Linked DNA regions of Saccharomyces cerevisiae S288C. The gene in region 1 interacts genetically with each later gene. Each region holds a gene or a part of one and is shown on either strand. Other genes may lie near its edges. The genes, in order: YPS7, TOH1, ALG8 and YPS1.

What was found.
Region 2: mutations in YPS7 (region 1) and TOH1 together harm fitness more than expected from each alone (negative genetic interaction), as found in Saccharomyces cerevisiae (3 studies listed by BioGRID).
Region 3: mutations in YPS7 (region 1) and ALG8 together harm fitness more than expected from each alone (negative genetic interaction), as found in Saccharomyces cerevisiae (2 studies listed by BioGRID).
Region 4: of YPS7 (region 1) and YPS1, changing one enhances a phenotype caused by changing the other (phenotypic enhancement), as found in Saccharomyces cerevisiae (one study listed by BioGRID).

What each region holds. Positions count from the first base shown.
Region 1 is NC_001136.10:1,171,311-1,179,718, reverse strand, and holds YPS7 (putative aspartic endopeptidase), read left to right. Parts: upstream 1-5,542; coding exon 5,543-7,333; downstream 7,334-8,408. Other genes in the region: SBE2 (Sbe2p), read right to left, coding at 1-1,053; ATP22 (Atp22p), read left to right, coding at 1,545-3,599; PAL1 (Pal1p), read left to right, coding at 7,894-8,408.
Region 2 is NC_001142.9:96,833-104,589, reverse strand, and holds TOH1 (Toh1p), read left to right. Parts: upstream 1-3,695; coding exon 3,696-4,886; downstream 4,887-7,757. Other genes in the region: histone methyltransferase SET2, read left to right, coding at 162-2,363; ASG7 (Asg7p), read left to right, coding at 2,811-3,440; CPS1 (Gly-Xaa carboxypeptidase), read right to left, coding at 5,123-6,853. UniProt on the Saccharomyces cerevisiae protein: Probable circularly permuted 1,3-beta-glucanase involved in cell wall modification through beta-1,3-glucan network alterations such as increased branching or remodeling.
Region 3 is NC_001147.6:446,736-455,043, reverse strand, and holds ALG8 (dolichyl-P-Glc:Glc1Man(9)GlcNAc(2)-PP-dolichol alpha-1,3-glucosyltransferase), read left to right. Parts: upstream 1-1,581; coding exon 1,582-3,315; downstream 3,316-8,308. Other genes in the region: VAM10 (Vam10p), read left to right, coding at 831-1,175; VPS5 (sorting nexin 1), read right to left, coding at 1-1,276; MSA1 (Msa1p), read right to left, coding at 3,719-5,608; ubiquinol--cytochrome-c reductase catalytic subunit CYT1, read right to left, coding at 6,676-7,605; YNG1 (Yng1p), read left to right, coding at 8,306-8,308. UniProt on the Saccharomyces cerevisiae protein: Dolichyl pyrophosphate Glc1Man9GlcNAc2 alpha-1,3-glucosyltransferase that operates in the biosynthetic pathway of dolichol-linked oligosaccharides, the glycan precursors employed in protein asparagine (N)-glycosylation.
Region 4 is NC_001144.5:386,011-394,620, reverse strand, and holds YPS1 (aspartyl protease), read left to right. Parts: upstream 1-6,400; coding exon 6,401-8,110; downstream 8,111-8,610. Other genes in the region: YLR125W (uncharacterized protein), read right to left, coding at 727-1,137; YLR122C (uncharacterized protein), read left to right, coding at 3,290-3,667; YPS3 (aspartyl protease), read left to right, coding at 4,351-5,877; ESCRT-I subunit protein SRN2, read right to left, coding at 8,446-8,610. UniProt on the Saccharomyces cerevisiae protein: Cleaves proteins C-terminally to mono- and paired-basic residues. Involved in the shedding of a subset of GPI-anchored plasma membrane proteins from the cell surface, including itself, GAS1 and MSB2.

The DNA.
Region 1 (8,408 bases):
ACTGGTCGATAAAGATGCCATTGGAATGTTCCAAATTAACGAGCCGTCGACATCGCCCTCTTGAAGTTCCAAGTTAACGTCTTGATCTTCATAAAATTTTTCTTTCATTTTTATGGCTTTACGCAAAGATTGGTCATTTTGCTCTTTCCTTAAACGGTAACGTTGAGAAGGAGTAAGTTGGGTTGTTTTATATGGTAATATTACAGAAGTACTATTGGAATGCACATACGGCGTTTTTGTGATCGGCATGAGTTTTGGTTCTTGGATAGTTGCGGTACTCATGCAATGATGTTTAAGAGGAGAGTCATTCTCGCTTATGAATGAAGTTTGTGATGCGGCTATACTGTTGGTTGTATTGCTCGATCCAGGCAGCCCTACTGTCCTGGAGAGTTTAGGAGTTGACACCGAATTTTGACGAGATGGAATGCATGTAGTTATGGTACTCATTGAGCAGATTGTTTTATCAGCGCTACTTGCTGTACGTGTTTTCTGTAGTATTGATCCCGGTCGGCTTTTCTTTAAGGGCGTAATATTGCTTCTATGGTCAGCTTCTCTCATACTTTTGAAGAAGCAGTTATCCTCCATCTTACTGTTTGCTATTTCACCCTCTTCTGAGCTTATATCTGATGTACATAAAGAATCAGATGTCGTATTTGAGTGCGATGAAGAAAATATCTCTGTGCTCGATGTACCTATAGAATCATCTGATATTGGCCTAATGCACTTCGCTGTGGGTACGTGTGGATTATTATTACCTAATACATTTTTAACAACATCTTGGCTAGCGAAATTGAAATCTAGGTTGGAGCTAGGGCGTCTTGTTCCAATATTCTTTCCGTTCGAACCTGTAGTGCTACTGGATGCACTACTGCCTGATCGGGATTTAGACAACGGAAGGCTGCAACTTTTGCGTTCGGTATATTCTGAAAGCATCAACTCCTTTGTGGAAAACTTCTTAGGTTGATTTTGTTTCAGATGCGTTGAGTCCTCCTCCTTTAAAGGGTCTAGCTTAGACGTATTAGGAACTATATTAATCAAACGACGTGCTGTCATACAATAAAATTGAATGTCACAGAAAGCTAAAGAGCTGAAGTAAAATAATGAAGCAAAGGTGGAAGCCCGAAAATAAAGTTAAAATTCAAAGCTTGTAACGAACGTATGAATGAAAGCACTAATTGAGAAAAAACTGAATTTTGTCAAAACAGCTCTATGTTTCAGAATGATAAAAAGGAGAGTTAAAAATACAATGGACAGTGGAATACAGCCAAATGCTCGATAGCTTTCGCAGAAACAGTACAATTAAAGATCAACACTTGTATTCTAATTATAGCAGGATCGATGTTACATCTCTTTTGCTCTCTAATCGGAGCTGAAAAAAAAAAAAAAAAGCGTATATAGTGATCTACGCTGATTAACATTATAGATTGCATAAAAGGGAAAAAGGAATTACATGAAGATCTATTCTGCGCGACACACTTTATTGGCGTACTGGCAAGAATGGGCTTTCAAATCTTCCAAGCGTTCACTTTAATGTTCTTATTGGCATGTTAAAATGTATATGCCGTGTCTATTCCCAGCCTTTGGCTCAAATGGTCACTTCACCGCTGTTTAAACATATGGGTAGCGCAGGGACATACACAATTCTACCTATTACAAATCTGCGCCATTTATCTACGAAAAACTGTCCATTGAAAATTAAATCAAATCGTTCAGAACCTTTGCAGTTTGGCGATTTTGAACGACAGGTGCCATGTTCTAGGAAGAGCGGATCTTCGAAAAATGTTCAGAAGCGTTTATACGAGCTCCGACAATTGAAAACTGTATTAAGTGAGACTTTTGGAGTAACTGAATACGCCTCTTTTTTTGAATCTCTACGAAATGCCCTGCATATAAATAATTGCTCAGAAAATGAAAAGAAGAAACTTTTATATGATATCATTTTGCATCAACACGAGTTATACCCAGAGGTGGCAAGAAAAATTGGATTTTATCTACCAGGTGAGGTCCACAGATGGTTCTGGTATCATATTCCAAAATCAGAATCTTTTAATCACTATCTTTTTCTTTTGAAAAGTGATGTTCTTCTCTTTACTTCTAACTACTGTACGAGATTTACCAATAGGCTGATAAAAGGAACTGAGATGGAGAGGCAGTTAGCCACGTTCCAAATATTTTTGCATGATGAGACAAACATAAAATTTATAATGGAAAAAGTTCTGAAGTTGCATACATTTGACAGCTTAATCGCTCTAGTAAATGGCCTTGTTAAGGCGAAAAATTTTAGGTTCATTAAAGTATTTATTCAAGCTCTACTACAGAAGTTGGAACAGCACTGTTATTCTGGTAAAGATGGAGCAAAGCAAAAGAACCTGCGTTATGTCAAGTTCAACAATACCTTACTTTATTACCTTTTGAAAAGTGGAAATGTTGAGTTATTCATCAAAACCTTTCAAGAGGAACTGAAATTCATTGTAAGCTCAGGATTGCTTAATCACATTGATGGAAACGAACACATATTGAATTTTCCCATTCACCACTACTTGAATCTGCTCCGAATATCTAATAGGCAGGAGGAGCTTTTCAATGTAATTTCCTGCTTACAAAGCAGCCCACTGATGAAATATAAATTGTTCAAGGAGTTTTTAATGGGTGAATTAATTGCATCTTTTCAAGCCTTTCGTGACCCGAAATTGGTGTGTAAATATCTCCTCTCATCATACAGCTCAAAGGCGTCTGCTAATATTCTGAATGCCCTAGGGATTTGGGGGTGGCTCTATCATTCAAAATCAACGACTTTGACAGCTCCTACGTTAGCAAGAGAGCTGAAGAACAAAAATAATATTCTACCGAACACAATGCGAATAGGATCACCAGTGACTGTTCCAATTTTAACTGAACTGTATAGAAGCCTTTTATCTTCGAGTTCTGTTTCACTGGAAAGTGGTCAATTCAAGAATTGTCTTCTTGATTTATATTACAAGTACAAGAGTTTTCTTTCCGAGGAAGCTCATAAATACAGGTATTGGAGAAATGATACCGGAATCCTCAATGTTTTCCTAAATTATATTAGATTCCAAGCTCGTGAACCAAGGCTGGCCTACAATGTTCTTCTGGATTTTTATTCTCAACCTTTCGCCAAAAAAGTGGTTTTAACTACCACGCTATGTCCCTTTTCCATAGTAGCCTATAAAAATCATACATTAACGCAGGCTGAACTATCAGAATTGCTACAGGTGATGCATAAAAATGGGGTGCCTTTAACGTTTAAATTTTGTTCTGCAATGGTAATGCATTATGTCAAAATGAGAGACGAAAAAGGAGCACGCTCCTGGTACAATAAGATACTCTTCGGGGGCTTTGAAATCAGGCATATGGCTTTGATACAGATAATAAAAGACCAAGGCTGGCCGTTTCCCAAAAACTTTGACGAAACTTTACTGACGGAATTGGTGGAAAATAATAACATTAAAGAACCTACTGATAGCACCCTGTTTACTGACGAAGATATGTTCGAAGAAGATGGCAAGCCTAGATTTAATGATGATGATGTTAATAAATGTACAAATATTATAAGAGAGACGTTGAAAAGTCTAAATTAATATCCAGATGAGCACTAGTAAATAGTAAATATTCATTCATAGATAGTAATTTACCCATAAGTTATTAATACCTACAAAGTTTTTTCATAAGTTTATGAATATGTCTTCTTGGCCCATGGTTACTTTATTACCTCTAATACCTTATTTACTTTCTCAAATAAATGAGCCCTTGGATTTCATTTACTGAGAATAAAAAAAAGTACCGTGCTCGGCAAAAATGCTCCAGGGGAGGTTCGAACTCTCGACCTTCAGATTATGAGACTGACGCTCTTCCTACTGAGCTACTGAAGCTTTGTTTTGTACAGACGTTACATCTCAGAATGGGATACGTCAGCATGACAATACATTATCCTGAACGTTCATAGAACACATATGAAACCTAAGAAAACGAACAGATTGAGCAACATGAGGTAAAACTCCGCCTTCTATAGCTGGGCTATCTAAACGTATAAATGCCTGAACAATTGGTTTATGAGAAATGGGTGTATTTTGAGAGACTTGTTGGGATTCCATTGTTGATAAAGGCTATAATATTAGGTGTACAGAATATACTAGAAGTTCTCCTCGATGATATTGGAATCCTCTAAATGGAATCTATATTTCTACATACTAATATTACGATTATTCCTCATTCCGTTTTATATGTTTCATTATCCTATTACATTATCAATCCTTGCACTTCAGCTTCCTCTAACTTCGATGACAGCTTCTCATAACTTATGTCATCATCTTAACACCGTATATGATAATATATTGATAGTACAACTATTAGTTGATAGACGATAGTGGATTCTTATTCCAACAGTTTAGATCCAAGGTTCCGCGCTTCCACCATTTAGTATGATCCATATTTTATATAATATATAGGATAAGTAACATTCCGTGAATTAATCTGATAAACCGTTTTGACAACTGGTTACTTCCCTAAGACTGTTTATATTAGGATTGTCGAGACACTCCGGTATTACTTGAGCCCGTAGTACAGCGCAGGCCTCCAGAGTTGAATTATTCTAAATTCCTGAATAATAACAATTTTGCAGACAAAATTCAGGCAATAACTCAAAAGAGTAATCTTTCACTGCATTTAAGGCGCTAAGATTCCCGCCAAAAGTAGTCGTCACAAAAGAACGTATATAAAATGCACTTTCGAGCGGTGACAATGTGAGAAATAGGTAAATATTGAGACAATTGTTGGGATTACCCTGTTTCTCATCTTTTATGTCATCTTTTTACACCGTATATGATAATATGCTAGTCGATAGATGGTGGTCGATTCTTCTTCCTGTATACAAATATATGAGTTGGGGATGTATATTGCAAAGAGCTTGATTATGACACATTGCCAGACCAAAAAACAAATCTCTTTCTATAATGTTCCCAGGTGGGCTAATTTTTTAAATAACGACGGCAGTATATTGATATTGGAGAGAGTTGTATTTATTGTTCGATATTTATTTTGATATCAGCTTTATATTGTAAGTGTTCAATATTTTAATTAGTGTGTATTTTGTAACTTTACTGCCAATTATCAACATAATTACAAAATTGTTATAAAAATTGATGCACTAGTGTTTCGGTTCTTGCTCTTTTAACCAACCGAGCCTAAAAAAGAGGCTCTTGAAAGTAATTTAACCCAAACAATGAGATCTTCATTCTTTTTTTTTTTACCTCAGCTATGACTTGCAGTGCTTTGTATCATACCGCTCGTTTGGTCGTGCTATTTGCAACAATGAACCTCGTTACCCCGAACAAAAAAAAATGAGATATTGAACGCCGCAGCTCATCATGGTAGAATGATGCAGCTAATACCAAAATAAGTTATATTTAGAATGTTGGACATATCAGTTGCATTAGACTAATCGTTCTAGAAGGATACAGAACTTGGAAAGATCTTTGAACGTATCGTAACTGCGTGCTTGCTTTATTTGCCGTTGATTTTTGCTATGACATGCCTAATTTTATGGTATCTGTGGCTCATATCAACTTTTCAGTTAGAGTTTGCAACGGCTAGTACTGCAAATACAACAACTACAGCAAAGTCTGGAACCTCTTCGTCAACGGAGGAGCCGTTTCCTGTACTAGCCGTGGGTAAAGATGGTAGAGGAAACTACTATGTTAATAGCACATTTGGCACTCCCGGTCAACGCCAACGTTTGCTAGTGGATATTATCCAACCGTACATAAATCTGGTTTCCGGAACAAGCGAAAGTCATAACGAATACTCCGGTGTATATCATAAGCATCCCAGCTACCTCATGAATGACTCTACATCATCTGTTCCTGTTTCTCCTGGCCAAATATATGAGATTTCTTTCATTGATGGTAGAGCTGTTAACTGTACTTTGGTGACAGACGATATGAATTTTACAAATGTTTCCTCAGAAAATTCCTCGACCGCTTTGATAACCGATTTAATGGTAACTCGAGATAACGTACAATTTAACTCGGGGAGCCTATCCATTTCAAACGTTTCCTTCTTTGATATTCAGTCCTCGAACTTTAAGACTTCAGGCTTGTTAGGTTTAAGCGGGAAGGTCACAAACCCAGGCAATGCTATCGATAGCTCACAATACACAGAACAGTCTTATTTTCTATCCTTATTGAAAGATGCAGATATCATTGAAAGTTCGTCATATTCACTGTGGTTGGCTGGAGACACTTCCACGTACAAAACATATAGAGATCCAATATCTAATTGTGGGAAGCTACTTCTTGGAGGGGTGGATCCTTCGCTGTTTACCGGTACACTGGGAAAATTTGACTTAATTCCTTACGTTGACCCAGTGAGTAATGCTGTTAGTGTTGGGTACCCAATTGTGCCATTAGGCCCTATTTATATTGTGTCTAACAGCGGACAAAGTTTGAATATGACTTCGAAGGACTTTCTGAGCCCAGCCTTACTTGATTCAACTTCTTCGGTCAGTTACCTGCCAACTAGTACCATTATTCAGATTGCCGTTCAAATTGCGGCCACTTATGTGGAATCACTAGATAGGTGGCTAGTCCAATGTTCTATAGCAGATATGGGTGTCTCCTTGGGTTTCAGGCTTCGAGAATTGACAATTGAAATACCCCTACGTGATTTATTATCATCTACTTACGATACATCCACCAATTCTTCAATGTTTTTCAGTTCTGGACAGGAAGCTTGTTTTCTAACACTATACGCTAATACAAATACTGGAGTAAACATACTCGGAGAAGCCTTCATAAAAAATATATATATGGCAATGGACTTAGAGGATAACACTATAGCCATTGCACAGGCAAAGAAGGTTGAAGATGACGCAGTTACTGAAGAGACAAATGAAACTACCGCGTCCACTATCATCAAGAAGATCAAATCTGGTTACATTCCTTACGCAAAAGTGATGAATAGTAGTAATACAAGAAACTTGACTCTTTATCCATCCTATAGGTCAGGCTATATGTTCACTGTCCCAGGTCAACTGACAGCAGCATACTCAAACGGTGTGATTACAGGTGCGGGCCGGTCATTCTATGATACTTCAAGAGCAAGCACAAGTGCTAGACCATCCAGTACTCAATTCGACAGCTTTTCTGTGTCAGCCTCAGAAGAGTGGTCAAATTCAACTAATAGAACCAGCAGTGCTTCGGGAGCAGGCGTTCGATTGAGCAGTCCTTATACATTTAACAAAGATCCAGCTGGACATGTAACTCGTATAGCTTCCTTGCTACTACTTTCGATATTCTCGATACTTATTGTTCTTTGAATGGTTTTAACAAAAGTTCATAACATAAAACCTTTTTCTCCTTGACCAATGCACGTATAACATCATTATATAGCAGATTTAATAACAACATACTTAAAAGTATATATGCGTCATTCTTATCCAGTTGTGTAGAAGCTAGTACTTGTGATCAACCATTGGCAGCCATCTCAAAGAATCGTCGTGCACGGAGCGTAAATCGCGTTACTTTTTTTTTTGTTTTTTTTCCCGCCTCGAGGTTGGTTCAACAGCAGATCATGGTGACTGGCGATAGGTTATTCACTAGAAAATGAAGATACTCTTTCTTGGGAGGTAACTCTGTAAAATTTCTAATTTGTATTTTATAGTGTGTAGAATCCGAAATATATCCGATCTACCTCGCTCTTTTTATTGTTATTTTTATTCGAGGAATTTAAGTGTTTTGCAGACCTATCCCTTCGAACACGTAACGTCATTTTACCATAATCTTCGACTGCTTAATTGTTGATACATTGTAGGTTCCATTACACTTTGCCAGCATTTTCCATTTTTAGAAAAATTGATACATATACGCAAGATTTAGCATGGAGAATAGAAACAGTAGTACCTCTAGTAGGCCATTTTCTGTTAATAACCCGTTTAGAAATGCCACAGTTGATTCAAGTATTAATCAGTATAAAAATGACTCCCAGTTTCAGGAGTGGGCGAAAAACCAATCTCGTACCAATTCATTTGATATGCCACAATTGAACACAAGAACTTCTTCACAATTATCATTCCCAAACATTCCAGAGGATGAACCCCAGCGAAACGCAGATCAGCAGGGTGCTTTTTATTCTGGTTTGGAGAGCTTTAGTAGTGGTAGTTTATCACCACCTTCGAGACCTCTTTCCTCAAAGAATCCTTTCCTAGACGATGTGAGTTCTGCAACCGATTTTAGAAGGTCTCCCCCACCTGTTTCAAGGAATAAAAATCATCCCACTGCTAAAGAAGAAAAAGAACAATTAAGGCAAAGATATTTGGAGGAAAGTGACGTAAGTACAGTAGGTAACACAAGAGAAAACACTGACCTACCACCCTCATACGAAGAGATCACTTC
Region 2 (7,757 bases), on another chromosome or scaffold:
ATTCCAAGAAACTATTAGAATTATTGGTAATTTGGTGGTTATTTATCAGAACGTAAGGTCACGTTGGCAGCTTTTCAAAGGGGCTTTCGAACGTGTGATAGAAAACTGCATAGTCGTGCTGTCAAACCTTTCTCCTTTCCTGGTTGTTGTTTTACGTGATCATGTCGAAGAACCAAAGTGTGAGTGCGTCGGAAGATGAAAAAGAAATACTGAATAACAACGCTGAGGGCCATAAACCTCAAAGGCTTTTTGATCAAGAGCCTGATCTCACAGAGGAAGCATTGACCAAATTTGAAAACTTGGATGACTGTATATATGCGAACAAGAGGATCGGAACATTTAAGAATAATGATTTCATGGAATGTGACTGTTATGAAGAATTCTCAGATGGCGTCAACCATGCCTGTGACGAGGATTCTGACTGTATCAATAGACTTACGTTGATAGAATGTGTCAACGATTTGTGTTCATCTTGTGGTAATGATTGTCAAAATCAGAGATTTCAAAAGAAGCAGTACGCTCCGATAGCCATATTTAAAACAAAGCATAAAGGTTATGGCGTAAGAGCCGAACAGGACATAGAAGCCAACCAGTTCATTTACGAGTACAAAGGTGAGGTGATCGAGGAGATGGAATTTAGAGATAGGTTAATAGACTATGACCAACGTCATTTCAAGCATTTTTATTTTATGATGTTACAGAACGGAGAATTCATTGACGCCACAATAAAGGGTTCGTTGGCCAGATTTTGCAATCACTCTTGCAGCCCCAATGCATATGTTAATAAATGGGTTGTTAAGGATAAGCTACGCATGGGAATATTTGCTCAAAGAAAAATTTTAAAAGGTGAGGAAATCACTTTTGATTATAATGTGGATCGTTATGGTGCTCAAGCTCAGAAATGCTACTGTGAGGAGCCAAATTGTATTGGGTTTCTCGGTGGTAAGACTCAAACAGATGCGGCATCTTTATTGCCCCAGAACATCGCTGATGCCTTGGGAGTGACTGTTTCCATGGAGAAAAAATGGCTAAAGTTAAAGAAATTAAGCGGTGAGCCAATAATAAAGAATGAAAACGAGAACATAAATATTGAATTTCTTCAATCATTGGAAGTCCAACCTATCGACAGCCCAGTGGATGTGACGAAGATCATGAGTGTATTACTACAGCAAGATAATAAGATAATTGCATCCAAACTCTTGAAGAGACTTTTTACTATCGATGATGACTCTCTTCGTCATCAGGCTATCAAACTACACGGTTACACCTGTTTTAGCAAAATGCTTAAATTGTTTATCACGGAACAACCTCAGGTAGATGGAAAAGGAAACGAGACTGAAGAAGATGATATAAAGTTTATAAAGGGAATTTTAGATTTTTTGTTGGAATTACCAAAGACAACTCGAAACGGTATTGAGTCGTCACAAATTGATAATGTAGTAAAAACTCTCCCTGCAAAGTTTCCATTTTTAAAGCCAAACTGCGATGAGTTATTGGAGAAATGGTCGAAATTTGAAACATATAAAAGGATAACGAAGAAAGACATAAACGTCGCAGCCAGCAAAATGATAGATTTGAGAAGGGTGAGATTACCTCCAGGCTGGGAGATCATTCACGAAAACGGTCGCCCATTGTATTATAATGCAGAACAGAAAACGAAACTACACTATCCACCTTCGGGATCATCTAAGGTCTTTAGTTCAAGGTCAAATACACAAGTAAATTCTCCGAGTAGCAGTGGAATACCAAAAACGCCTGGCGCTTTAGACTCTAAGAAACATAAGCTGAGTGACGAAGAATATGAGAGGAAGAAACAAAAAAGACTGGAATACGAAAGAATTGCGCTAGAAAGAGCCAAACAAGAAGAATTGGAAAGCCTGAAGCAAAAGCTAAAGCTTGAGAATGAAAGAAAAAGCGTTTTGGAGGATATTATAGCGGAGGCCAACAAACAGAAGGAGTTACAAAAGGAAGAGGCCAAAAAACTAGTGGAAGCAAAAGAGGCTAAGCGGTTGAAAAGAAAAACGGTCTCCCAGTCCCAAAGACTAGAGCACAACTGGAATAAATTCTTTGCATCTTTTGTACCCAACTTAATAAAAAAAAACCCACAAAGTAAACAATTTGATCATGAAAACATTAAACAATGTGCTAAAGACATCGTGAAAATCCTAACTACAAAGGAACTTAAAAAAGATTCTTCAAGAGCGCCGCCTGATGACTTAACCAAAGGAAAAAGGCATAAAGTTAAAGAATTCATAAATTCATACATGGATAAGATTATCCTCAAGAAGAAGCAAAAAAAGGCGTTGGCATTATCATCAGCATCAACAAGGATGTCTTCTCCTCCACCTTCAACATCATCATAATTAACCAGACATGCATATTTGGGGCTTGTTTCACGTTTTCTGTCCCAAAGGAAGTCTTGTACTTTAATTGTAATTGCGATTTGTAATAAGTAATTTTTTTTGTCTTTACCGTTTATTTCTTTATACATTTTTGGTGCATATATTTAAATATCCGCATTAGTGGGCTATCAGTAGCACTGTAATGATAGGTAATGTGACACATCTTCTCGACAGATATTATTCTTGAAAAAATCGTGCGTTTCAAGTGTCTTTATTTTTTTGCTGTCAATAGAAGTGTTGAAATGACTTTGAAACGTAATTACCGCATCGGGAAATTTACATGTTAACTGCAATGAAAACAAGGAATATACGGGGAACATATAAAGGGTCAGCGTCGTTGACTAGTCTGTCATTTATATTGTGCTTGTACATAGGACTACAAAAATTCAAAGAATGACGACAAGAAACATGACTACTTTAGCATCAAGTATTGAGCATAAAACAAAACATCTAGCCGCGCCCTTCGAGAACGATGAGAACCCTTGGATGAAAAAATACTGTTGCCAATGCAAATCATGTAAAATGAGTGTGCCTGTCCAACCTTGGCTGCCAAGGTTTTTTGTTTTTGGAATCTTGTGCCCCGTTTTCTGGTTGGTGAATCTTTTAGCCTGGTGGTTCTTACAGTATTGGCAACCACATGAATTGGAATTCCACGACTTGCAAGAAGACGAATACCCAGGATTTTATGAATATGAAGCCATAACTAAAAGAACGGTGATACCCATAAAGGAAGAAGTCCTCCAAGAGATTCGCGTCATGCAGAATTTCAGTGATAGCAACAGCGAAGAATATTACGAGAGCAAAGACGGTATGCCGTCGTCTTTCCTAAACGTGAACACGGAACAAGTCGAGGACGAGAATGACACCTTGAAAAAATATCGTTACGCGTTTTTGAAGAAGGTAGCCCACGATGTGCTGGAGTCGCACGATTTATTACGTAAGACCTTCCGCGACTGGAATTTACGGTCTTTGCTTGGCCTCCTCATCGATTCTATACTCATAATATTTGTAGTTCTCCTATGTAAGAAAAGCCGTTAGGTAGATCTAAAGACAGAAAATGATATCAGCCTCTTTCTTTTCCACAGCCTCCATTTCCCATTTTTGCTGTATCTGCAAGGGTTCCTTTTTCCATTTTTTTTTTTCAAAGTCTTGGCTCCGCCCTTTTCTTTTGTCTATTTTGCCGAGCTTAGGTTATTTATAAACCTGAAAATCCTCGAGAAACAATCCTTATCGAAGGAAGCAGCCATAATAGAACATACTCAAGTGCAAACATTACAAGCTTAAATAAGACAAATGTTACAGAGTATAGTCCTTTCCGTGTGCATGTTTATGTTGCACACAGTCGCTGCCAGTGGACCTCAGTCGTACCAAAAGTTGGATTTCACTAATGTTGGTTTTACAGGCTCCTACGTAGATGTGAATAAGTTTAAAGATATCACCAACAATGAATCGTGTACTTGCGAAGTGGGTGACAGAGTATGGTTTAGTGGTAAGAACGCTCCACTAGCAGACTATTTATCCGTTCATTTCCGTGGACCATTGAAGTTGAAACAATTTGCTTTTTACACATCCCCTGGATTTACCGTCAACAACAGCAGAAGTTCTTCTGATTGGAACCGTCTTGCCTACTATGAGTCCAGTTCCAAAACCGCTGATAACGTTACCTTTCTAAATCATGGAGGTGAAGCTTCCCCTTGTTTAGGAAATGCTTTGTCCTACGCTAGTTCTAACGGTACTGGCAGCGCCAGTGAAGCTACCGTTTTGGCAGATGGCACTTTGATTTCTTCAGATCAAGAATACATAATCTATTCGAATGTCTCATGTCCAAAATCAGGTTATGATAAGGGTTGTGGGGTTTACCGTAGTGGCATTCCAGCTTACTATGGGTACGGAGGTACAACAAAGATGTTTTTGTTTGAATTCGAAATGCCTACTGAAACTGAGAAAAATAGCAGCTCTATTGGGTACTATGACTTGCCTGCTATTTGGTTGCTAAACGATCACATTGCAAGGACTTCTCAATATCCAACCAATGCCAACTGTTCATGTTGGGCTAGTGGATGTGGGGAATACGATATTTTTGAAGCTATGAATGGTACGGAGAAAAACCATCTCTATTCTACTTTCCACACTTTCCAAGGTATCGAGGATTTGGGTACTGGTATCCAATCTTACGGATACATAACAAGAAATACTACTGGAACGATGAAAGGTGGTGTTGTTTTCGATTCTAGTGGAAATGTCGTTTCTTTCATATCTGATGCCACTCCATTCAATGGAACTGTTTCTGCTGATACTGTTAACGATTTATTGGCTGCAATTCCAGAAAACGAAACCTATTCTTCTCAATTGATGAGCATTTCTGCTACTGCGCCTTCGACCACCTCGAAGTCGAATGGTGTTGCTTTAACGAAGATGCAAAACGGTGTATGGTATTATATTTTGGCCATATTCACTGCCTTTACGCAAGTGGTTTTGATTTGATTTAAGTCATTGTATGGTCATATTATCATCATCATTTAAATTTTGATTTGACACTTGATTTGACACTTCTTTTTTTTTTTATTTATGTTTTGTTTAACTGACGGTGTTTTTTTTTTTACGTTATACTGATACATATATAGACGTGATTTATTTAAATAAAAAGTTCTATGAAAAAAAAAAAAAATTAAAAAAAAAAAATTAAAAAAAAAAAATCTTTGACTATTCAATCATTGCGCTTAAGCGTATTCGTTAACATTAACGATATACTCGTAAACAAAGGCAATGGCAGATAAATGACCTGGGACATCCACGTGTTCATTAACCGAATGCAATGTCTTCAGTAAATCAATATCAATGATAGAGCCAACAAACCTATAAATGTTCTTGGACAAATTCCAGTAGTATTTAGTATCGGTGTTACCAGAGAATAAACCAGTAGTCACATAGAACTCTTCGTTGTTTTGTAGAACACCGTTTTCAAAAACATCTTGAATAGTACCTGCCAAAATGTCCCAAACAGGGCCTGAACTTGGCGAAAGTGGTGCTGGTTCCAATTCTCTCAAGAGAGTAATGTCAATGTGACCTAACTCGGTTTCAGGGATAATGTAATCGTCACCGTTCTTAGATAAACCATAGCCATACTTCTCAGCAATCTTTTTCGCATATTCTATGTTTCTTTCAAAGACTTCAGCCACAGAAGAATGTAAATTAATTCTGTGATTGATCAAGAATCTGGTAGTTTCGGGCAGAGCATTAGCTTTAACACCACCATTGATGATATCAACAGCTTGTGTTGTTCTTATTAAGCTGCGCAAATGTGATTGGTTGGAAATGTACTCAACAAGCTTGTCCTTCCTTCTAGGACAGAATGGTGCGCCCAAAATTGTCTTCTTCACATCCTTACTTAAAGATTTAGAATGTTCAGCAGCACATGTCAACAATCCATAGATTGGATTGTCAAACTCAAATTCGTAGTCAAATGGGTTGGCTTCAAATTCAGTAATCAGTTCTGAAGCGATACCGATTGTGGTATGATCAGGTGGGACAGAGGAATGACCACCATGGCCTAGAATACTGACTTCGAAGTCGACATAGCCTTTTTCAGCGTTGATTGGAGTGGCAACAAAGACATCCTTGTCGACTTCCATGATACCTTCACCCTCGTCAATGATACTGTAAATACCATCATCACCATATCTTTCGTGAAGAAATGAGGCTAAGCTGGCAGCACCGAGGGTGCCGCTTGCTTCTTCATCAAAACCAAGCGACATAACAATAGTTCTGTTGGGCTTGAATCCATCTATCAACAGTTGTTCGATAGCTTCAAACTCGGCAATTAACAAGTTCTTACAATCGTTAGAACCACGCCCCCAAACAAAATCTGTTTCTGGATCATAGTGACCAGAAAATGGAGGGAACTTCCAGGATGATAAAGTTTCGTTGTTTACAGGTACAACATCTTGATGGGCCATTAACAATAATGGTTTTAGATCAGGATCAGAACCTTCCCATGTGTATAGAAGACCCAGCTCATTGACTTTCTCCAATTTCAAATGCTTGTGAATATTAGGGAAAGTCTTCTCAAAATAGTCGTGTAGTTCATAAAAATGCTTATAGAAATCCGGATCATCTGCGGGGTTGGGGTTTTTGTCTTGGACTACAGTGGGGATTCTAACAGCATTGGACAGTTTCTCAATGGAGCTGTTTCTAAAGGCAGGGTCATGAAGAATTGTGTCGACGGAATGTTTGAATGATGGACTTAATGGTTCAATCTTCTCACATTTGGGTGAGTGCATGGGACCTTTTCCATGGTGTGGACGCTTTGCCTCATGAGGTGGTGCTGGGTGGAGACCCGAAGTGAGGAAGAAGGTGCCGATGATAATAAGGGCAACTATTCCACTAATAAAGGCTCTGTGCCTTTGCCATAGGGACTTTCTAGGGGCCTTCTCTACTGGTAAGGCGATCATAATGTAATTGTTAGATGAATGATTCCTTAATGTGATGATGCAGGATTAGTTTTACAATGGGAAGAGACGTATTTGGGGTACCCGTTTCTTTTATATGTCATAAACTTTCTTGCCCGACCTTGGAAGGCTGTATCGTATTTTGCCCAAAGGGGAAAATAAAAGGCCGCTATGATAAGATAAGGGTGGCGAGGCTGAGATAACAAGAAGATGTTCTGAGCATTGAGCATTTAGGATAACAGTGCACAAGATCACGCGGTTCAATTCGTCACGTAAAGCTACTAGAAGTGGGTGTTTCTAGTAGCCTGCAAAAAGCGTCGTTCTAAAGAAACTTTTTTCAATGACACATTTACTGAAAATAGAAAAAGACTATCTATTCGTAGCTGATTTTCAAAATCCGTATGGGAAATCAGAGGTTATGGAACTGACAACGTCGTAGGAACAAGCGATATGCAAATCCCGGTGTCGCTTTGTTTGTGTATCGCTAAAAGCTTATATGCAATACTCGCGAAGGTACTATAATCCCTTGGACTAGGTCATCCCAATTCTTTGTCTTTATCAGTAAACTCTTATCTTACCTTTGGTCTCAAACTGGTATTTTATTTGCTGAATATTAACTACCACTAGGGATTACTCGTAAAATTATGAAAAAAGTACCATATGAACTCCAATAACGGTAAGTGATCAATAGGGAACAGCAAGTCTCTTCTTCTTTGCAACGTCAAGATTGATCCTATGCTTTCATAATTTCCCTACATGATGGCAGTCATACTCCAATTAAGTGCTACAAGAAAGAGGCCTTCGCAACAACTGTGTCAACGCTTGCAAGTGCTAAATTGTACTACAGCACCAGTGGTATCTCCTATAGTCAGTTACATAGTAAAATATTCAGAGGTCCATTACATAA
Region 3 (8,308 bases), on another chromosome or scaffold:
CTAGTAGTTGTATCTCACTTATCCGGACTTCTGACAGATCGTTGCTATCATTAATAGCGCCAGATCCAGTCAAAAATGCCCTTTTTTTAGACTCTGAACTAAAGTCATCACTTGTCAAAAAGAGTAGAAAATCTTTGTCCTTTTGTAGAACCGGATCTTGACATATTTTTTTTAACATGCTTTCCATTTGAAATCTTCTATTTTCAATGAAATTTTCCTTAAAACTGCCTACTGATTGCTTCTCTGGTGGTGGTGGTATTACTTTACCCCAATGGTTGTTCTGCAATTGACGATATAGCCACCTGAAATCTCTGTAACGCCTGCTTACCTGTGCATATTTTAGCTCAAGTAATGATGATTCACTGATTACAGTATACTCCACATGAATGGATGTTAGCTCTCCTACTTTGACCGGGTCTTTAACTTCAACTTTGAAAGCCACAGCCTTTTCGGTTGGTGGCACCTTTGAGCCAATCTTGGTTTTTCCAAACTTTTCTGAGTTTTCCTCGACCTCAGCAGGACTTGAAATATTAGCACCTGTCTGAGGAAGATTGTATAAAGGCCTGTCCACTTGCTCAAGGATATTTTTTTCAACAGAAGCTGTGAACTTGCCCTCATTGTTTTCTCTCCTTTCATTCCTATCGTCCAATGGCTCTTCAACAAATTCATTCTCTTTTTCAGCTTTCTTTAAGGGATCAGTAAAGGGTGTTTTGATGGTATCATCGGAAGCAGTTGTTCTCTTCGCTTTCAGAGAATGGTTGCGTTTGGAGTTTCTTTGAGCTCTGGCGGAATCAAACAGAATTCGTGGTTTGCCGGATCTTCTTCCAGAGATGCTTTTTGAAGTATTTGGTGAAGTGTTAGCATCGTATATCGTATCGTCAAAAACTAAGGGAGAGTTGGCGTTTCCAGTGAACAATGCGCCACCGGATTCTCTTGTTGCAATAAATTGTGTAGTGCTATTCTTGAGATCAGCAATCGGATCCTGTTCAGGGGCTAAAGAATTAATAAGATCGTCAGCTTTGGAATTGTCATGCTCCTCTAGTTGCGGATTACCAGCCACCGACAAACCAGGGTCTTTCCATTCTGGCGCACTATCCAAGTCTATCTTGTCCGCAAATGAAGCTGTGGTCTCTAAAAGCTCATTGTCTTTTCTTTCTTCATTTGTAGATATTTGACCAATTGATTCAATTGAATTTGAAACGAGGCTCTGAGTTTTATCTCCCTCATGATTTAGTTCGTCCCAAACAGGTGCTTCTAGATTATCCTCGTAGTCCATGGCTTGTTATTGCAGGATGTATGAAAGTTTATAAAATCCCTGCTGCAAATTAAGAGATATATGGTTTCGTTCACTACGTAGTTATAGTAAATAACCTTTGCTTAACCCATTTTTCAAAGCATTTTTAAAATTTACTGTTATCACTTAGTTGTTCTTAGCGGACAACTTCCGAAAAGTGAAATTTCATTTTTCAAAACGACAATAGTGGTATAGAATTATAGAATAACATACGTTAAAAATAGCTGAAGTTCATTACAGTTCTGTAGTGGTCAGCAAGGCATTTGACGTCTATTGGATAGCCTACGATGAAAGGTGATCGTTCGAGGCAAAATATGGCTGTGACAAAGAAGGCAAAGTTAAAAAAAAATGACGAGCCAAAAAAGGTTTTGAAGACTGCCGCGACCGAAAAAGGTGAGGGATCCAAGCGCTACTCCTTATGGAATTTCTGGATAAGCACATTGTTTTTAAAATTACTATTGATTCCTGACTACTTCAGTACAGATTTTGACGTTCATAGAAATTGGCTGGCAATCACCAATAAATTGCCCATCAGCGAATGGTATTATGAGCACACTAGTCAATGGACATTGGATTATCCGCCATTTTTTGCTTATTTTGAATGGTTTTTATCGCAATTTGTTCCTAAATCTGTACGTGATGACGGTTGTTTGGATATAGTGGAGATCGGAAAGTTCGGTTTGCCAACAATCGTTTTCCAACGACTCACTGTCATCTTCAGCGAAATTCTTCTATTTGTCATCCTTCAAATATACATTAATACTACAAAGCTAAGTGAAAGATCTCAAAGTTTTGTGGTTGCTTCTAGCATTGTACTATCACCCGGGTTTTTAATAATAGATCACATTCACTTCCAATATAATGGTTTTCTTTTTGCGATTCTAATAGGCTCCATTGTCGCCGCCAAGAATAAGAGATACATCTTGTGCGCTGTTCTGTATACTACAGCCATATGTTTCAAGCATATATTTTTATATTTGGCGCCATGTTATTTCGTGTTTTTATTGAGAGCATACGTTCTCAATGTCAACAATTTCAAGTTTAAAAGTTACAAAGATTTTTTGTTCCTGATAAGATGGGCAAATCTTTTGAAGTTGGCTACCGTTGTTGTTGGAATTTTCACTATTTGTTTCCTTCCATTTGCTCATCAAATGCCGCAAGTGTTGAGCAGGTTATTCCCATTCTCAAGAGGACTGACGCATGCATATTGGGCACCAAATTTCTGGGCGTTGTATTCTTTTATGGATAAAATACTCACTACGGTAATGTTGAAATTACCGTACGTCCACACTTTTGCTACAAAATTTATTAAACCTCCTCTGATCCCTCAGAATATCAAGGAAATTAATGAAAGGCTCGCGGCAAACAACAATGGAAGTAAAGGTCTAGTTCAAGACGTATTTTTTGTTATTCTCCCTCAAATTCCTCCAAAATTAACGTTTATTTTGACGATATTTTACCAGGTCTTAGCAGTACTTCCACTTTTGTTTGATCCATCGTTCAAAAGATTTGTTGGCTCGTTGACTCTCTGTGGGTTGGCATCGTTTTTGTTCGGGTGGCATGTGCATGAGAAAGCTATAATGCTAGTCATCATTCCGTTCACATTTCTTGTTGGATTTGATCGTCGTCTTTTGGTACCGTTTATGTTAGTTGCCTCAGCTGGTTATGTTTCCTTGTATCCTCTTCTGTACAAAGGCCAAGATTTTTTCATTAAAACATTATACACTTATGTTTGGTGTATAATTTATTTTGCCGCTTTTAGAAAAACTACGAAGATTTCTTCAAGTGTAGAAAGAAGAATCTTTTTCTTGGATAGGTTGGCATTAACGTACATCTTTTCATTGTTACCAATCGTCACCGTATTACAAATATTGGATGAAGTCAAGTGGAGATATTCATTTTTGCAAAAATTTGAATTCTTAGGATTAATGATATATAGTGTCTATTGTTCATTAGGTATAATCAGCTCGTGGTTTGCCTTATCGTGGTTATATAATTTTGACGAATTACTATGGCAGTGATACAATATCGCTTCCCTAGGACGTTAAAAAAAAAGTGATATAAAATTATTTATATATGAATCGATTTTAGAAATATTTATTGTACATTTTCACCTACTAACTAATTGAATAACGATTAGATTTCGATTTATGCAGTCCCTCACGCCAGTTCCTCATTATTTTTCGTTTACGTATTGTGCGTTTTACACTTGAATTAAAATAACATTACATTAAACTGAATGAAGGTCAACTCCATTCACATGCATCAGTTGAAAGGTATATAAGTACTACTTCAATATATTATCTATCAGCTCTGGGAAAATGCTTTAAGAAGGAAAAAAGGTAAGTAAACTATTTTTTAACGCTTCATGATTATTGAATGGTCCTTTTGGCTCATATCGTTTTCATGAATCTATGACTATTTTCACTGATCATCGATTAATCTTTTCAAGGCAGTTCTAGCATCATCCTGTTTGTTGCTGTACGGGTTTTGTTTTAGTGAATCGTCAAAGCTAGAGGGAGCTTTCCCGGTTCCAACAGGGAACCCGTGTAAATTAGGAGTTGCACTGTTCGAAATTGAAGTACCTGGTATGTATTTGGTTCCTAATGAGCCATTCATGGTTTGCTGGATTAATGGAGTGCATTCAATCAAAGTGGGTAATTGAAATTCTTGATTTCTAGGAGTTGAAGGTCCATGGGCAGCGGTAAATAAATTCGCCGGCGGCTGTAAGTTTTCGCTTTTGGTGTTACCTAGCATATTTGCTACCCCTGTTGTGGTTTTTTCTTTGTTGAAGTAAATAGATGACACCCGAGACATAGATTGATGAGGTGGGGAAGCGATATTGATTTGTGGCGGGGAAGAGTTCATGTTTATGTGAGGTGGGGGTATTTGAAATTGACGCTGTTGTTGTTGCCTTTGAGTAGGAGAATTGGATTGCGATTGCACTTGCACTTGCGCCTCCAATTGAGCTTGTAATTGTCTATGGACGTTGCCGCTATCCGATGCGGTGGCTACAGTGGTGCCATTTACCATGACATTAGAGCTTCTTGGTGGGCTGAATAATCCAGGTGAACCAAAGTTTATCCATGAAGGAGGTGTGTTAAAACATTTTTGACGTCTGGGCGTATTAGATACATTGAACAGCATTTCTGGCCAATTCCCATCTGCGTCGTCAGTAAGCAATAACGGGTCACCACTTGAAAACTTAAACACGAATTCCTGCTGTTGTTCGTTAGATGCAGTAGTCGACTTGGGCAACATTTTGTTTCGAGGTGATAAGAAAACTCCCGGGCTATTAGTCAAGGTAAGTAAAGTATTAGCATCCGCGATATTGCTAATGGAATTACCGTTCTGATTGTTATTATTGCTGGCACCCACAGCATTTGTAGATTTGGATATAGTATCACTTAATGATACGGAATTTAGTGCAACATTGGGAGTAAATCCCATCCTGAATTGTAGAGAACTCTTTGGAGTGGATGGGGGCTTAAGTTGCGCGCTTGAAGGGGGTGATTGTGGTGGTTGCGAAAGCAGTATATTATTGTTTCTAGCACTGCCTATTGGAGAAGCTGAAGTTTCTATGATAGTCGGCAATTCTGTGTCGATGATGTCAGATCTGCTTGGTTTCGCTGGAGGTGCTTCGGGGAGCGTATCAGTATCACAATATTTCTCATTCTTCATCTGTTTTAAGAGAGAAAGAATACGTCTCTTCTCAAACTTGGGTGCATTTTTCTTGCTTCCTTTGTGAATTTTTTCATTTTGCATGATCTTTTTATTATTATTGTTCATTAAATGAGACGATTTTGACGATGGAGAGAAAGGCAAAGATCCTGCAATAACGGCCTTCCCACTTTCGGTAATGGTTAAAGAAAGTTTGAATTGTTCCTGTGAAGGAAACATGTAGTCATTTTTCTTTTGGAAAGCTGGAGAAGACGTCATGATAGGCGGCGAACTCTGAAGAAAGGTTTTCCTTGTTTCAGAAAACACCGTGTTATTATAGCTGTCATTCGAAGACGGGGTAGAGATCGGCGTAGAGCCATTAGTGCTCGATTTCTTGGTGGGAGTAGAAAGAAGAACGCCCCTGTATCTGCCCTTTCTCGTAGTTGCCGCCAAATTATGATGATGATCGATGCTGAGTCTTCTTTTATTCGGGGATGGACTAGATTGCCCCACTTTCATCAAAGGTTTGGCAAAACTGTGAGGCCCCTGCTTCTGAACCTGCATTGAAGAATGCGCCATGGGGCTTTGTAGGGGATTGGGATAATCTTTGGTGATGGGAGGCCTGCCTCTTTTTTTGATCATGCTTTTATCCATAGTGAATATTTTTCACGAAGTATTCTTGAGATATTTTTATTCCCCTTTTCAACTACACAACCCAGGTTGGTGAATATATACTTAATCAAATCCCTTTAATCACCTTGGAATGTGCAACCAGCTCTTCTTCTCAAAATTTAAAAAAACTTCCGAGAATGAAAAATGAACTAACGAAAAATTTTCAAGACCGTCTTAAAGATCCCTTATCGGTGCTGCAAAGGGGAAGCAGTTATTAAGAGAATTATTAGTATTTGCTGGCTGTGCCTTGATTGTATTAATTGATGGAACAGCGAGAGAAATTTTAGAGGTATGAAACCAGACAATAGAACGGGACTAATATGGAAAAAAACCGATTTGAGGGATTTCCTATTAGGGAAAAATAAGTGTTTGCCTCTTTAAGGAAAAAATACTAGCGCGTTACGCGGCGACTTCAAAGATCGACCATAACGGTCTCGCTCGCATCCTCAACGATTGTGTCATATTATTAATGGAACGAAAGAGAAGGTGGATGGCCAAAGCCTTGGAACAGTGGTAGATTTACACTAAGTTTACTTTCTTAATAGATAATAGGAATATATATGTACATATATAAATAAAAAATAAATAAAATAAATATTATAGAAGAACACCAAGACGCCGGTGTTGGGCATCCAAACAAAATATTGTAAAGTTTCTTTCTTGCAATCTTCTACCTTTATTTTTATTTTTTATTGCTGTTAGGTTGTTAACATTTAAACATCTTTTTTTTTTTTTTTTTTTTTTTTTATATTATTATTCGTGATATTTCGCTTGCAGCAGTATCTCAGTACATGAAGGAGACACTATTGAAGTGAGACGTTGTTTACAAGCAGTGAAAAAATAAATAGGGTGGCCGAAAAAAAAGAAACGAAACCAGAGAAATAAAAAGGAAAAGTAGGTAAATTTTTGTTACCTTTCACTCTCTTTCTGAAAACAATTCAGTATGCTCTACTAATATTCTTTTTTTTCATTTCTTTTATTATGTTTTTTGTTTATTGGTTTTTTTTTTTCCGTAATTTAAATAATAGTGGTTTTCATTTTTTTGTCAACTACTTTCTTGGTTTTGGTGGATTGAAAACGAATTTTCTGGTTTTGATACCGGCCCATTTGAACTTCTTCACCCAGATAGATAGCAAATACAAAGATGATAAGATTATCACCGTTTTCAAACCCAATCTCTTTCTTTCGTCATGTTCAGGTTCGGCACACCAGTTTAAAAAGGTGGTAACGTCCTTTGCCATTTGAGATGTCGTTGCGGGGGTACCATCTTCGTACTCAACCATGTCATCAAACAAGACTCTTGCCATTGCAATGGAACCACCTGGGAAGTAAGGGTTATAATTAGAACCTGGTGGTAAAGCCACACCAGCAGGAGGTTCATCAGGATAACCGGTCAACAAAGAGAAAATGTAGTCACAACCACCGTGTCTAGCTTTCACGATCAAAGATAGATCAGGTGGCAAGGCACCTTGATTGGCAGCTCTTGCAGCCTGTTCGTTTGGGTATGGGCCAGGGATGTAATCGGACAACTTACCTGGTCTCTTTTTAGGGTTACCTTGTTCATCAGGTTCGTCATCGTATTCAAATTCTTCGGCCATATTACGAACCTCTTCGTTGGTATGAGAAACACCAACCAAAGTTCTCCAAGCAACTCTGTCAAGAGAATGGCAGGCGGCACAAACTTCACGGTAAACCTGGTAACCTCTTCTAATGGATGCATGATCAAATGTTTCAAAAGGCCCATTGTGGGACCAAGCATATGCTGGGGCGTGCAATCCGTGTTCAGCTGCGGTCATAGCTTCGGCAGTTAAGGAGTCTGCATAGAGTAAAGTCGATGCGGTGATACCGGCGGCAGCAACACCCGCTGTAACGAGCTTTTGAGTAAGCTTGCCAGATTTACTAGCAGCACCTGTTGCGGTAGAGTAGAAACTTTTCGAGAGGGTCCTTTGAGCCCAACGTTTAGATAGATTTGAAAACATTGTCAAATTAGTTATAACTTCCGCTTCTGAGAAAAAATAGTAGATGATATAGTGTAATGAAAATGCAAATTGTAAAATATTATTTTTCAGAACTAGTTCAAACTAATCAATTGAAGATATCACAAATGTGGGGAAATTCAATGAATGCTTTTTATCAAACTGGGGGAGTACTGGAAAAAATATTTAAGAAAAATAGTGTTACACTAATATAGAATATGGATTCTTTTTCTTTTTCTTTCTTGTCCTTAATATTTGAAGATAAAGTACAAAAATGTATAAAATGTTGCTTAACAAAGAAAGATTGTGAAACCGATGATTAATAAGAAAACGAATGGCCTCTACTAAAAGCTTAGATAGTCTATGGATCCAGTTGGACGTCTAACCTCGTTATTATTCAAATTGTTTATATACTAGAAAGAGCCCCCTTAGTATCTACGCAGGGTAAAGGCGCTCGACCCTCTCCACCAACCAAATCCTCGCATTTTTTGGCCGCCGGAAATACCGGCCGCCCATTACCAAGAAATCCGAGAAAAAAAAAATCTTCAGTCACGTGGCGCTCCGTCTTATTTCCGTCCTTATACAAACATTTGGGATTGGCTCACAGAACATCACAACAGCATCTGTGAAAGTCTTAATAGAACTGAAATGTATGATGCGCTAGCACATCCGCTTTACAAGGAAGTTTTTTTCGTCTACAGCAATG
Region 4 (8,610 bases), on another chromosome or scaffold:
ATCAAATCACTCCAATGATCAGTATCCGAAGGTTCGGCACTACATAGTTTCGTTTATTAAGTCCAATAAATAAGCTTTTTTGTATGCACTTTTTTTTCGCTCATGCATAATGGATATAGCTGACTGAATGTCAGTAGTAATATCTGCGAGAAAATATGACACTAATTCTTGAGGTTTGTTGATTTACGTAATATGGTCCTCGTATAGTTAGAACGTTGTTCTAAAGAGCTAATGGCAGTTTCACTGCAGCGACCAAACAGGCAAGTTACACTCTCTGAGAACTAAACTTCTTGAATTGATGTCTGACCACGTTGGCATTTCCCAGTAAATTCAATAGGCTCAAATTAGCGGAAGAAAGCAATTTGTTATCTTTAATTAACCCTCAAAGAAATAGATACATCAATAAATGTCAACAGAGGCTTGAACTTATTTCACAATTTGTTCTCTTGTCCCATGTCAGGTGTAAAACTGACGGAAAGAACAACGTAAGATAATTAAGGTAAAAACAAAAAAAGGAAAGAATCTAGGCCCACATCGCCTTAGATCCACAACATGCAGAAATAGTAGCATACTTCTCCATTCAAATAACCCATTGTTTGCCTGCTTGAAAAGGAATTTTTTTTTTTTACTTTTTAATAATCCTGCTGTTTTTAGTGGCGTTTTTGTTCTCAACACTTTCCCAAGAGTATTCTCCCACCTCGCAAAATTATGGAATTTTCTTCATAATCAACCATGCCAAGAGCTTCTATAAACACCGGTGTATTTTTCAAGCCAATCTTTCATCTGAGGTTCGTCCAATACATTCAGTGGTATGTCTTTGTCCCGCAAGACTGCAACTAACTCTCCAAAAGCCCTTGCAGATTCCTCTTCAGCTTCTTCTGGATCTTCTTCTGAACTTTCTTCTGAACATAAGCCTGAATTCTCTTTCTCACCTGAAGATGAACATCCTTCTTCAGAGGTAATCACCCCATCTGGCCATGCCGCTGTTTCATTCAATAGAGGATAGTTATCCTCTTTCGGGCTAGCGACATCACCATTTTTATCCTCAATTCTACTTTTCAAGGATTCTTGCGAAGTTATGTCCTTTTTCAAGTGGCTCATGAAATTCTTATTAGTTAGTTCTAAAATTTCTCCCATGCTTGGCAGACTAGACTATTCTTTTCAATGTCCAAAGCCACTACTACGTTGCGTTAGTTTGACTCTTCACTCTCTCGTACTGAAATCCTCTATGCGGAGAAATACAGCGGACGGATTGCGTGACAGGCACCTAATGTATTACTTAAATCCCAAAACTGGAAACTCGGCGTTCTAGAAGAATGGTTTTGATTGACCCATAAGATATTCCATTAGTTGTGTATCGCAAGGACTGACGCAGAGCTAGCATACCTGCTCGAGGATTATACAAGTAGGTGATGCAGTAGGTGATGCCTATAGAACTGGGATGCAACAGGAATTCAAGTGGATAGGGATTATACAGTATCAAGGAGCTGATCTCTATCCGAAGATTAGCGTCTTTAATGGTTCATTCCAAACTGCAGGAAACTAGCAAGCTTTGTAAACTGAGGATGACTTGGTATTACACGGATTTTTGTACAGAATGCACTGAACACCAACATCTTACGCTGCAACAAGATATATCTTAATGACTTGAAAAGTTTATTTTTTTGAAGCTGTTCACTAATAATGTCCTTCATAGTAAAGTCATGGTGGATTGGTAGCAGTTCAAAAATAGGAATACTACGTTTAGATGAATGCATTAAAGCCGGACCTTTCAAGCATAAAAGACATATCTAAAGAAGGCAAAAAAAAACGGTAAAGCAGAAGAAACGAGACGGTAGATACAATTCAAAGCAACATATATTTGAAAAGGGTCTTCAACTTAAAAAAACCCTTTTTCATTGCTTTTTTTTATTTTTTTCCTTAAATTGTTGATGTCAACATGACGTATAATACGTCTCGGTCATTTCACTTCCCCTCTGATTAATAGCCCAGCGGTTAGAATAGCCATTCGAACACAGAAAGCTTCCAATTTGATTATATGGTAGGACTTAAACTTCCCATATTAACGAGTCTTCTGAGCCAAGGGGAATTTAGGACGCTCAAAAGTTGGGTTAATTTGCTTATCTAGCGGTTTTGAAGAAGTACGGGCCATTTAAATGTAGGTTGACAGGAAACCAGCTTTCATCGGTTGGATGATAAAGTACAAATATCCAGAAGAAAACTGCTGTTGCCAAAAAAGTTTTGTTTGAAAAAAATAACACCACAATTTTGCTTCTTCGATGGCAAACTGATCAGAATCAAGAGACAAAGCTGCTGTGGTGGTGTTTTGTTAAACGTGTCTGTGAATGACTTCTTTCCGCTTGCGCACATTTTTCTACTGGCTCTCCTCACTAAATGTTAAGATTTCTGATATATGTGGACCACATTTCACCATTGTTGAAATGGACGGTATGATATGATTCGAATAAGACCTGGAATATGCACTCTAGCATACCAGGAGCTCTGGACATTGTATTCTTCTCATCTATTGTAAAACATCTCTCAATAGTAACGTATGAGTAATGATTCGGAATGGCATCTAGATTAGCAAATACTTGCTTGCTTGTTGAGGATAACCGTAAACTCGTCTGTTCTTAGTGCAAAAACCGTCCCAAAAGTAACAGACGGTAACTCATTCTACATTAACATTGGATGATATGTTGACAATAAATTCCGAGGGACAGCTCCGTTTCCTAGTGAATCTCGGTGGTTGTAATGAGGGTAAATCGCTGAGCATTTTTTTTTCTTCTCTTTACTACACCATTTAGAGTTCTCACTTTGTAAAATTCCGTCCTGATATGAGAATATATATCTCCACGAAGCAATACCAAGCACAAGAAAAACATAGCAATTTTTGCAAGGCCCGGTAACGCAAGATGTGATAACACGCTGCATCATTTTAATTAAGAGCGCGCCACTTCTCCAGATAGTGCTGTATTCATATATGTAAGTGCTCACACTTTCTGGGAACAGCGGAGTCATTAGAAGACTGGCTTCGCTGAAGTTGCTAGAACGAGCAAATTACAACATTATATTCAGCTTCAAGAAAAAACGCAGACAATGGACTCAGGATGATGAGAGGTTCCTTTGTACCACTAAGATCGACTCGTCCTAACCCTATATCCCAATCCCAAGACTAGGCGAACCAACATTAACTGGGCTCGTAATAGGGCAATGATAATGCAAAAGCGGCTCCTAAACAGAAATTCTTCAGTAGTCAAATCTCGAAATTGCCTTGCTCGTCATCAACATGAATCGTCTATATCAAAACTGCATGTTTCTCTACGTCTACACAGATGTTTGCGTCCGATTGTGCGCTTCGATTTTTTACATAATGCTGGAAGCAAAGTTTGCTCTCAGAATTCCTGCCCTTCGCCCCAGTTACACGTGGGGACAATGGCGCTCTTTCATACAGTCTTCATTCTATGGCCGCACTTTTGTGGCATTCTCTGGACCGTCCATGAAAAATTATATAACTATTTGCTTTCTATTGAAGTCTATTGAAGTTAGCGTGGATAGAACGGCGTTACATGGCACATCAGCTGAAGCTAGCGCAAGTAATTTTCAACGCATTCAAACGAAAAACTTATCTAAATACAATTGTAACATACCGGCTTGCTGTGTGTGAACCCCTTTCCCCAATTGTATATCAGAAACGTCTGAGTGGAGGGTGAGGAATCACTCACTACCTTTTCTCCATTCGACGCCTATAAGCAGCGTATTTTAAAGGAAAGGGGAATTAGTGCGGAGATGGGCCAGAAATGTACTCTTTTTTTGGCAGAGTTTTTCCGGGCGGGACAAAACAATGGCGTGGGGTGATGAAATAAGCAAAATTCAATATCCCTTATGACGGAATGGCAGAATTGGCCACCATTTTGTCTTGGCATTCAATATACATACAAATCTTCACTACCGCGATATTGTTGGTAATGGAGATTGCTTTTTGGCCTCCTGGCTTATAGGGCTCTGAGTCTCGTGGTAGTGGAATCCGGCACAGAAACGAGAATCGGATATTTGGGGCCGGGCCATGTACAGGCAAAAGAAATAGCGAAAATATCTCTTATTTTTTTCGCGCTTCCTTTGTAGTAGAAATTATTGGCGATCGGATTACTATTCGCGGAAAAGAAATTAAAAATAGCGAAGAACTTAGAACTATAAGCCTCAAAAGGAAACTTGTGTGGTCGAAGGCTGGACGCCATAATAATATATATATGTACGTATATATATTATATATGAATATCTGTAGCCGCTAACTTGTGTGTTTGTGAATTTATATAGGATAAATAGAGCAAAATTACTCGGCATTGAAAAATGAAACTTCAATTGGCGGCAGTGGCTACATTAGCAGTCTTAACTAGTCCGGCATTCGGTAGAGTACTTCCCGATGGGAAATACGTCAAGATTCCCTTCACAAAAAAAAAGAACGGCGACAATGGTGAACTCAGCAAGAGATCGAACGGCCATGAAAAATTTGTACTAGCTAACGAGCAAAGCTTTTATTCTGTTGAGCTAGCCATTGGTACACCTTCACAAAACCTCACTGTGCTGTTAGACACAGGCTCAGCTGACTTATGGGTTCCTGGCAAGGGAAACCCCTACTGCGGTTCTGTGATGGACTGTGACCAGTATGGCGTGTTCGACAAGACCAAGTCGTCCACGTTCAAAGCCAACAAGTCCTCGCCTTTTTATGCCGCTTACGGTGACGGAACCTATGCAGAAGGTGCATTTGGTCAAGATAAATTAAAGTACAACGAATTAGACCTCAGTGGTCTATCGTTTGCCGTGGCCAACGAATCTAACTCAACCTTTGGTGTGCTCGGGATCGGCCTTTCCACGCTTGAAGTCACCTATTCTGGAAAAGTCGCTATTATGGACAAGAGAAGCTACGAGTATGATAACTTTCCCCTGTTCCTAAAACATTCTGGAGCCATCGATGCAACCGCATACTCTCTTTTCCTAAATGACGAGTCACAGTCCTCCGGCAGCATCCTCTTCGGCGCTGTAGATCACAGCAAGTACGAGGGCCAACTGTACACTATCCCGTTGGTTAATCTTTATAAGTCGCAGGGTTATCAGCACCCGGTGGCGTTCGATGTCACTTTACAGGGCTTAGGACTGCAAACCGACAAGCGCAACATCACATTGACCACCACCAAGCTCCCAGCCCTACTCGATTCAGGCACAACGCTAACATATCTGCCCTCCCAGGCAGTGGCTTTGCTAGCAAAGAGCTTGAATGCCTCGTATTCCAAGACATTGGGTTATTATGAGTACACGTGTCCCTCGAGCGACAACAAAACCAGCGTGGCCTTCGACTTCGGTGGCTTCCGTATCAACGCTCCTCTATCCGACTTTACTATGCAGACCAGTGTGGGGACCTGTGTCTTGGCAATAATTCCACAAGCGGGCAACGCCACCGCTATCCTTGGTGATTCCTTCTTGAGAAACGCCTACGTGGTCTACGATTTGGATAACTACGAGATTTCCCTAGCTCAAGCCAAGTATGGCACGGGGAAAGAGAACGTCGAAGTCATCAAATCTACCGTTCCCAGTGCAATAAGGGCCCCCAGTTACAACAACACTTGGTCTAACTACGCCTCCGCCACGTCCGGTGGTAATATTTTTACCACCGTGCGCACTTTCAATGGCACCAGTACTGCCACCACTACGAGGTCAACCACCACCAAGAAGACAAACTCTACCACTACTGCAAAGTCGACTCATAAAAGCAAGAGGGCACTCCAGAGGGCTGCTACCAACTCCGCTTCCAGTATACGCTCTACCTTGGGTTTACTGCTAGTCCCCTCCTTACTCATCCTTTCCGTTTTCTTTTCGTAAAAAAAAACAATAGACACTATATATAGACACTTTTTCCTTTCCTTCTTTGCGCGATTTCAAGAGGAAAAGCATACTTAAATAAGAATATTCCTAAAACACACGTTCTGACGCGTCAATTAGATCGTCAGACCTTGCATGCAGCCAAGACACCCTCACATAGCACTGCCTCCTTCCTCCTCTTTTCTGTCACCACCTCACCTCCCTCGTCCACTCAACTGAGTGGCTTTTCGCTCCTTTTATACTGCGCCATGAGTAGTTTTCGTTTCACTGATGTGTCCGAAAAAATTGAGGTTTCATAAAAAAATTCGTGGACTTATTTATGGAGAAACAGGGAAATCCGACTACTTAAGAAAAGGGTGTCAAAGAGGATTTACTTTTTTCCTTCTTTTTGCATTTGTTCCTATTTCCGCAATTGGACGGTTATTAAGAAGAACGCAATTGGCTTTTCTGTATATTAAAATACATAGCGTAATAAAAAGATAAGGTGAACACCAAGCATATAGTATAATATTACCTACCACATATGAAACTGAAAACTGTAAGATCTGCGGTCCTTTCGTCACTCTTTGCATCGCAGGTTCTCGGTAAGATAATACCAGCAGCAAACAAGCGCGACGACGACTCGAATTCCAAGTTCGTCAAGTTGCCCTTTCATAAGCTTTACGGGGACTCGCTAGAAAATGTGGGAAGCGACAAAAAACCGGAAGTACGCCTATTGAAGAGGGCTGACGGTTATGAAGAAATTATAATTACCAACCAGCAAAGTTTCTATTCGGTGGACTTGGAAGTGGGCACGCCACCACAGAACGTAACGGTCCTGGTGGACACAGGCTCCTCTGATCTATGGATTATGGGCTCGGATAATCCATACTGTTCTTCGAACAGTATGGGTAGTAGCCGGAGACGTGTTATTGACAAACGTGATGATTCGTCAAGCGGCGGATCTTTGATTAATGATATAAACCCATTTGGCTGGTTGACGGGAACGGGCAGTGCCATTGGCCCCACTGCTACGGGCTTAGGAGGCGGTTCAGGTACGGCAACTCAATCCGTGCCTGCTTCGGAAGCCACCATGGACTGTCAACAATACGGGACATTTTCCACTTCGGGCTCTTCTACATTTAGATCAAACAACACCTATTTCAGTATTAGCTACGGTGATGGGACTTTTGCCTCCGGTACTTTTGGTACGGATGTTTTGGATTTAAGCGACTTGAACGTTACCGGGTTGTCTTTTGCCGTTGCCAATGAAACGAATTCTACTATGGGTGTGTTAGGTATTGGTTTGCCCGAATTAGAAGTCACTTATTCTGGCTCTACTGCGTCTCATAGTGGAAAAGCTTATAAATACGACAACTTCCCCATTGTATTGAAAAATTCTGGTGCTATCAAAAGCAACACATATTCTTTGTATTTGAACGACTCGGACGCTATGCATGGCACCATTTTGTTCGGAGCCGTGGACCACAGTAAATATACCGGCACCTTATACACAATCCCCATCGTAAACACTCTGAGTGCTAGTGGATTTAGCTCTCCCATTCAATTTGATGTCACTATTAATGGTATCGGTATTAGTGATTCTGGGAGTAGTAACAAGACCTTGACTACCACTAAAATACCTGCTTTGTTGGATTCCGGTACTACTTTGACTTATTTACCTCAAACAGTGGTAAGTATGATCGCTACTGAACTAGGTGCGCAATACTCTTCCAGGATAGGGTATTACGTATTGGACTGTCCATCTGATGATAGTATGGAAATAGTGTTCGATTTTGGTGGTTTTCACATCAATGCACCACTTTCGAGTTTTATCTTGAGTACTGGCACTACATGTCTTTTAGGTATTATCCCAACGAGTGATGACACAGGTACCATTTTGGGTGATTCATTTTTGACTAACGCGTACGTGGTTTATGATTTGGAGAATCTTGAAATATCCATGGCACAAGCTCGCTATAATACCACAAGCGAAAATATCGAAATTATTACATCCTCTGTTCCAAGCGCCGTAAAGGCACCAGGCTATACAAACACTTGGTCCACAAGTGCATCTATTGTTACCGGTGGTAACATATTTACTGTAAATTCCTCACAAACTGCTTCCTTTAGCGGTAACCTGACGACCAGTACTGCATCCGCCACTTCTACATCAAGTAAAAGAAATGTTGGTGATCATATAGTTCCATCTTTACCCCTCACATTAATTTCTCTTCTTTTTGCATTCATCTGAAAACCGTTGCACAAAGTTTAGACATTCACATCTCCAAGCCAGTTGGAGTTTCTGGCGGAAATCGTTGCTCTCGCTTGGGCAAAGTTTTTTTTTATTATTAATTTTTTATTGTTACGTTGGCGGTCTTCATTTTTACTTCACAATAGTTTATCTTACCCACTAAGAATAGGTTACCATTTATTCACATTTTTTTTTCTCATTCCTAGTATACTATTTACCTGGGATATGGCCTATAATCAAAGGCTTTAATATTCTAATAATTCGTTTGGCATCTAGAATAATCTATAAAGTATAGTCTATATACGTACATATTGATAATGGCGGTAGCTGCTGAACTAGTATTTCAAATTACCTTGTTTATCCCAGGTCGCCAGTTTCTCTCTCCTCAAGTGATATTGTGTTCGTATGTCCAGATAATTTTTGATGAACTGATCCAGGTCATCGGCTGAGTCAATGGACCTTGTGGTAGTTTCTAGCTGTGAACTCTCCTCATCAAGTTT